Arabidopsis thaliana: one gene and its partner. The protein of the gene in region 1 interacts with the protein of each later gene in a pairwise test. Each region holds a gene or a part of one and is shown on either strand. Other genes may lie near its edges. The genes, in order: AT5G35680 and AT5G62440.

Region 1 (3,604 bases):
TTGTTTAAAGCTAAGAATTTGCTCAAAGAAGAAACAAATAGATCGTAGCAGTGAAGATGATTCCAATATCGGTTGGAGTTGGTTAGAACGCTGGATGGCAACCCGTGTACCAGACAGCATTCCAATTGAACCAAGAACAGATGTTGCAACGAAAAATCAAAGCTTGATAAGAAAGAATAGAGCTTTTGGTACAGCTGGCGAGTTGGAGAGCTGTGCTTCCAACGACCTACCTCTCCATTTTGAAAGCATATCAGAGACACAAGGAGATGCAACTACAGTTTTGCAGACCGAAAAAAGTAGTTTTAAACCAAGTATATCTAAGCGTAAATCTGTTCCAAGCTACAAAAGCCAGAGAAAGCATCACAAGGTAAAGAAAAAACCCCACAATGCATAGAAGTTTCTGAGTCCCATCTATCTCAAACATACTTACCTGTCTCGTTTTACGTTTGCAGCTTCAGGCCACCAAAAGTGATCTGCAACAACAAACAAAGAAAGCAAAGAAGGCCAAAACCACACCCACAAGCTGCAAAACAGGAAACGAATGCGAAGAAACCTCACATAAGCTAAATAGCAGCACCTAAGATAAGCATTACCTGTAAATCTTTGCATTTAAATCACAAAAGTTTGTTCTTTCGAATCAGATAACAACTTTCTGTAAATTATTTAGGGATTCAAATCAAACCAGTAATAGTAAGGGATAAGAAACTGGAAACCCCAGAAATACATAACAATGATAGTATCACAATCTTCTGTATCTAAGAAGATATGTATCTCAAATTTGATAATACAAGCTGGAACAGAGAGCCAACAACAAAAACAAACTTAGATCCTATCAATATCCTCATCCTCAAACTCAATGTAATCTTCACCAACAACATCATCATCATCATCAAGATCACCAACAATACCTTCGTTAAGACGAGTATTCTCCGGAAGCTCACCATACGCCTTAAGAAGCCTAGCCTCATCAGACATATACTTGAGTATAACATCAGCTTTATCATCCTGGTAATCTCTTAGACCAACAAGTATGATGTCACCAGCAGCAATCCAAACCTTCTTATGCATCTTACCACGGATATGGCAAAGACGCTTAACACCGTCAATGCACATAACGTCGCATCGACCGTTACCGAGCATACGAAGAACTTGTGCGTATTCTTGTCCATCTTCTTTGAATATAAGCTCTCGCTTTTCGTCATCAGCTTCGTTCTTTCCTCTCTTCCTGTTCTTTCCTCCCTTTCCTTTGTTCTTCGGCATCGTCTCTGTATCAAATTCGATACAGAATCAGAATCTGATCATATAATGGCGTAAAGGTTACAAAAGGTTGAAGAATTGATTCGTTTTTTTTTTCAATTTCAGACAAAAAATGGCAAATTCGAGAATCAAAATTCAGATCAAAACAATTCCGGTAACGAGAAACAATTAGATCGAAACATAATTGGGTAATTTCAATTCAGTGGAAACCCTAATTTGGAGTTTGAATTGAAAAATTAAGGCGGTGTAAAGGAAACCCTAATTGAGAAACAAAGGGAAGGAAGAGATTACCAGTAAGGATTGATCGAGTTGTTGAAAGTGATTAGGAAGACGATCTTTGAAGAGAATCGATTTCACCAAGTTTTTTCTTTGTTCTTTAAGGAGGTTTCTTAGCTGCGTTGTGTTGCTTGTTCTACTTTTTTTTATCGATGTCGCAAGAGACGTCTTTTTATTTAAATAGTGTAGCTATTTGTAAAACACCCTCGAAATTAGGTTTTATTACGGAGTCATGCCATTTTTTATTTTATTTTTTTGTCAACATATATTATTTACGGTTCAAACGAGCCAATCTTGACGAAACTTGTTTATATAAGTGATATGAAACGATTCAGCACAAACTTATTATCCGCCTTGACATTTACATTACGAAAAATTAAAGATAAAGAAAAAGAAGTGAACTCTTCCTTGTCGCTCTGAAACTCCTTTAAATATGTTGAAAATGCTGATCATTTAGTTGGGAAATATACTATCTTCACCAAATCTGAACAGTCTGTTAAAAAAACTACTTATTGGTTGTTTGCATCAACCATACACTTCATTGCCCAGAGTAAAGCTTGGACTTTAGTATGGAAAGGAGAAAGATTTCTACATAAATTAGCAGCTCTCTTTTCTTAATAAGACTTTGAGTTTTTTTTTTTTTAATTAGAAAGTTTGTGTCTTTGTGAACATATGACATCTCTTTGTGACATGTGATTTCTCTCGTTTTATCTTAATACCATTATTTAGTTTTAATATACTTAATTATCTATATCATTATTATTTTAAAACTATAATTTAAGAGACACATTTCATTTCCTTTATTTTCTTTTTCATCAATACAAATAAATATAAACATAAAATTACTTTATCCTACGTTACTATTACATCATTTTAATATTGTCAAATTTATTAAAATAGATTGTCTTGCCTTAGATTTTGTTTTTACAATACACATTTAAATATTTGTGCACGAAGACATAAATTAAATAAATAGATGAAATGTTGTAGTTACAATTATCACATCTTCTATAAAGTTTTTCCTTTCATCACATATATTGTACAAGAGATTTTGATCAGAACATAATCTCTCTTTCTACTGCCAAATAATACATGCATGTAGATATATTTTTTTATCTCTAAAGGATTTAATTATAGTATGAGAACTTGTAAAATCATGGATTTATTAATCCGACTATCTTTTGTTTTGTCTTGACTGAAATGGGGAATTGATGCTCAAAAACATTGATCGATTTCACATAATCATGTTTCTACTTTCTCTATCTTTATATTCATTTTGAGCTTATCTTCATTACTTTCCAATATCAATTTGACCACATATATTGCATAATAACAAACCAAGACATCTTCCATTATATCTTTCTCACCTATTTATATGTTTGCATATTGAATAATCATAATCTGTAATATATAAAATCTAGAAATTAGTTATATTCTATTGAAAAGGGCAACCAAGAAAAGAACCCTATACGAAAGAGGCTTGCGACATCCAACCTTGTCTTTGGAAAAAAAAATTCATTCGTCAAAATTGATTGATTAGTTTTTATTTTCCAATATTCTACAGTTTAATTCTCATGGTTTAATTATTCATTGCGATTACTAGAGAAATCGATTTTGATGGTAAAATGAATTTGCTTTTTAAGATTCCTTCAAGTTGCTAATAATGCTAGTGAATTAGATATCTATTTAATTGAGGAGTCGAGGAGTATGGCTTTTGATTTAGAAATTATGAGCTTATTCTTTTGGTTCTAAATTACAAAGTGATTGTTGAGCTTTAGACCATTTTGAACCGGAGGTCATTCGTAATCTTTATTTGAGAAAAAGATGGATAAGTAGAATATATTACTTGAAAGGTCATATATTACTATTTTGTTGTGATTATAAATGTAGTCATATGTACTTTCGTATGTACTTACGAAAATCGGCATTTTTTCTTTAAAAATATACCGTTCTACTCTTCAATTATCATATCGAAGCTAAAGAATAAATTCACAAGTCATGAGCAATGTCGACGAACCTAGATATGCGGTGACCAAAGCTGAATGGAACAGAGAAAGCGACGGAAGCTAAC
Region 2 (4,300 bases), about 11 Mb from region 1:
TCGAGGTTCTTAACGGAATCCTCCTCTTGGCATATACGACATTCAACCGATTGGATGAGCGGTTCCTCTTCATCATCAACATCGCGTTGTTCCGTTGTCTCTTCTTCCTCGGTTTTCTTACCATCCATAGATTTAGTAGTAGACAGGCTTGTGGAACCCTGAGCTCTAGAACTCTCTCCAGAAGATTCAATAGATTGATTGGATCCTCTATCTGAGTTTAAACTTTCAGGTTTCACGAGACGGTCAGTACTTGAACTCTGATCATCAGCCATCTCTCTTTTAGCCTCAATGTGTAAAAAAACGTTGTCCTGTTAAAAACCAAGAAAGATCCAAAGATTCAAAATAAAAATCTCATAACTCTTATAATGATAAATGTTCCATCATCAACACAAAAATCTCCATTTCTTTGAATCGAAACATCATAATTGAGCTCAGACAATCGATTTCATTTCATTAAAGCGGAACAATTCAGGGAAAATGTCTTGGTGGAAGAGATTAGGATCTGAGTTTAAAATATGTCTTTGTCTCCAAATTTCCCCAAATTTTCAAGACATAAACCTAATCGGAAAATCCCCAAATTTCAGAATCACATCTCAACCATGAAAACAAAAGAGAGATACCATTCGATTCCATCACAATTCAGGAATGAAATTGAAACCCCAAAAGTCACAGAAATCAAAATTCCCAAATAGCAGAATCAACCAACCATAACCCAAGAAGAAAATGAAAGAAAAAAAGAGATAAAAGAGAAGATGATCAAATTATGATTACCTATAGAAGAAGAAATATCGTGAATCGCAGAAAATGGGGGAAAGAAGCTCTCTTTCGATTTCTTGAAGGGCACAAACAGCTCTCAAGATGAAATTCGGACAAATGTGTTTTCTTGTTTGATGTTCGGTCTGGAAAAATATTCAGATAAGTAAATCAAAATTTCGAAGCGCGTGTAAACAGATAAATATATAATTAAATACACAAAACCGGAGTTATGGAGGTTGACGATTTGACACGGTAACGTTATGATAATCAGATTTTCACAAAAAAAAGTTTTTTTTTTTTTTGTACCTATCTATCTTGGTTCTTTTTAGATTTTAGATAATATTACAAAAATAACTCTTTACCAAAATACGATAAAATAATTCCATTATTTTTAGAAAATTTAAGATTGAGGTGTTTGACTGTTGATAGATAATATGGTAAGATTGACTAGAAGCAAAAAAAATATATTCCAATTATGTCAAATTTTTGAAAAATTTAAGAAGTTCCATTAATTCCACGAGATGTAAATAATTTCAAAAGATGTTCGTTTGACTTTGACATTTTCCTCTTTGGCAAAAATTGTGATTGATCAATAAGTTAAGTCTCCAAGATATCCCGACAGACTGAACATCTAAAACGTTTAGGTATCCCAAAAATTATTTTTAATAACATTGTAAATTATATCAACATTTTTTATCCAAAAAAAGTATAATATGATTTATTTGTTAAACTATTATATTAAGATTTGAGTTTTTATTCTATTATTTAGAATTACTGACTATTATCCAAATTTTCTACAACAGTAAAAGTAATTTGTAGACTAAAAAAATATCTTGAGATGATTAATAAAAAAATATATTAGAAAAATGTAGACTTTAAAATGAAAAGATTTAAGAGACGTAAAAATAATAATTGGACAGATCAATGACGACAAATTAGTTACTACATTGAAAATCCTGGTTTTCATGTAGTGTATGCCGTCGAGCCAAAAAATCAAATAGACCGAACCAGTTCGGTTCAATCGGAAACCAAAGTCATATAAATATACCGCTTAGACGATTTCTGTAGGTCACACACCCTCAAGCTTAAACCCTAGAAATCGTAGAAAGGTGAAAAAAAGGCGGAAGCTTTACTAGCTTAACAATGGCTGAAGAACAAGAGATCGTCGATTCCCTGTCAGCGGAAGTGAACCCAGACCAGAAAGTGGACATGGAAGTCGAAACCGCGACCCCGAAAGCCGAGACCGGCGATGAGAAACGTGAGAGAGAGGAGACAGAGGAAGAAGAGAACGGAGGTGAATCGAAGAAGCAGAAGGTTGGAGAGGAAGAGAAGTCAGGTCCGGTTAAACTTGGTCCCAAGGAGTTTGTTACCTCTGTGGCGATGTTCGATTACTTTGTCAAGTTTTTACACTTTTGGCCAACTGATCTCGATGTTAATAAGGTAATACATATTTGGGTTTACTCTTCGTCTTTGTCTTTTGGCTTTGTTTATTGTAAAGTTTCAAATTTTTTGGAAATATTCATTCCTTTGCTCGAGACTTATATAGGTTAATCTAAGAGCTCTGATTGTGATTATTAAGTTCTGTGATGTGTTTAGGAAGATGTTTTATCAATGAATCTGATGATGATCGTGCTTTGTATTTAAACTAAAAGAAATTGAGAATTGGGTTCGCCTTTGTATTGGTCATATGATTTGATTTTGGATTCAGTGTTTGGTGTTAGAATTTTGTTTTTGTCTCAAATTAGTGGTTGTTTACAATGATTGTGGATATTGTATTATGTTTAGGGAGATGATTGTGGATATTGTATTATGTTTAGGGAGAGGATTAGTGAAGTGGAGATAGCTTGTAAATTGGACTCCTTTGCAGCTTTTTTACTAGTTGAAAAGTTCAAATGTATCGTGTTCTTACTGATTATATGATTGTGGATTGTGTGTGAATTAGAAAGTTTTTTTGGGTCTTGATGTCATATAATGGTTAGAAGAATGAAGTTAATGTCAAATTTTGAGGGCACAAATAAAAGATAAAACATTGCATAGTCATGTAATATATTACAGTTGTTGCAGTTTCTTTTGAGCTTCCAACTAACTAACTCGTTGTACTGAACTTTGTTCTGGATTGTACATTTCAGTATGAGCACATGGTGCTGCTAGATCTGATTAAGAAGGGCCATTCTGAGCCTGAAAAGAAGATTGGAGGAGGAATCAAAACCTTCCAAGTAAGAACCCACCCAATGTGGAAAAGCAGATGCTTCTTTCTGGTTAGGGAAGACGATACTGCAGACGATTTCAGCTTCAGGAAGTGTGTTGATCAAATCCTCCCATTGCCTGAAAACATGAAGACTCCTGGAGCTAACGGCAATGGACATGGTGGAGGTCGCGGTGGCGGTGGTGGAAGAAGAGGCGGTCGTGGTGGTGGTAGAGGAGGGAGATTCAGAAGATGAATATGCTGACACTTGATGCCTTATTTCAAAAGAAAATTTTGAAAATTTCAGATTTAGTTCTTTTGCCAAAAACTTTAAAAGTTATGATCTTGTCTAATGCAACTGCTTTTTGTTGGAGAAAAATTGTCAGTTTATATAACCCATTATTGCTGAAGAAGAAGAATATTGTCCCTACTATCTTGACAACATCAGAAAAAAACACAGACGCGTCAATAGAACTAAAAATCTGGTTGATCTAGTTTTTAAAAACCAATAATTCAAAAACGAAAAACTCAAATCAAAATCTAGATGAAAAAAAAACACTTTCCATTGATAGTGTAGTGTTGATCTGGTTGCTAAATGATAATGTTAAATAAAAAGAATTGGGGAAGTTATGAAAAACCGACATTTTGACTTTGGTAACTTACTGTGTGTGACATGTTCACCGTTTACGACCCTTCTAAGAGAAAGACAATGCCCTCAAACTAAAGCTGTCTTAAATCTTAACCCTGCTAAAAAATGATTACATGAAGTGATAACACTGGTTGGCACACGTCTTGGAATAATGGATTATTTTGAAACACATTATGAATTATAAAGAAACATTATCCGATATTCGGTATTCGGATTAATATTCCAAATTGTCTTCTTACACAATATACAAATAGACACATACACAAATTGTCTTTTGAAGATGCAACAAATTTTGTTTTGTTAAGCCTTCTTAGATTTAGGAAGCTTCTTAACTACGATCTTACTGCAACACAATCAGTTTGTGAAATCTATGATCTGACCAAGATGCAGGTGAGTAAGGGACCTACAGTAGAAGTTGACATGGAAAAAAGGCAGAGTTTGGTAAATCATAAAATGTGGCAGAGACCTTTTTGGTAATAGCCAATGAGAGAGCACCTCATATCTATTACCTTCTTCTGCAGTCTTCTTATCTTAACGTACAACCGTTCACTTAATGAAATTCGTCAATGGATGTTATATGGTTGTGAAGTTTTTTTTTTGTTTTTTTTTTTATAATTGATTTTCTATTAATGGTTGTGATTAATCTTTGTGTATAAAAGAAGGGTATATGTTTCTCCAAACCAAAAAGTGTAGATCGTTTTCAAATGAAG

The links.
Region 2: the proteins of AT5G35680 (region 1) and AT5G62440 interact in a two-hybrid assay, tested with the Arabidopsis thaliana proteins (one study listed by BioGRID).

Annotation. Positions count from the first base shown.
Region 1 is NC_003076.8:13,857,330-13,860,933, forward strand, and holds AT5G35680 (Nucleic acid-binding, OB-fold-like protein), read right to left. Parts: upstream 1,685-3,604; 5' UTR 1,549-1,684; intron 1,295-1,548; exon of another isoform or gene 1,266-1,294; 5' UTR 1,261-1,265; coding exon 874-1,260; coding exon of another isoform or gene 823-873; exon of another isoform or gene 822-822; coding exon 756-821; 3' UTR 592-755; downstream 1-591. Other genes in the region: iqd33 (IQ-domain 33), read left to right, coding at 11-367, 453-581.
Region 2 is NC_003076.8:25,071,517-25,075,816, reverse strand, and holds AT5G62440 (EMB514 (DUF3223)), read left to right. Parts: upstream 1-1,747; 5' UTR 1,748-1,899; coding exon 1,900-2,196; intron 2,197-2,885; coding exon 2,886-3,197; 3' UTR 3,198-3,700; downstream 3,701-4,300. Other genes in the region: AT5G62460 (RING/FYVE/PHD zinc finger superfamily protein), read right to left, coding at 1-308, 621-623. UniProt on the Arabidopsis thaliana protein: May play a role in ribosome biogenesis and in determining the rate of cell division. Involved in a process essential for nuclear and nucleolar functions.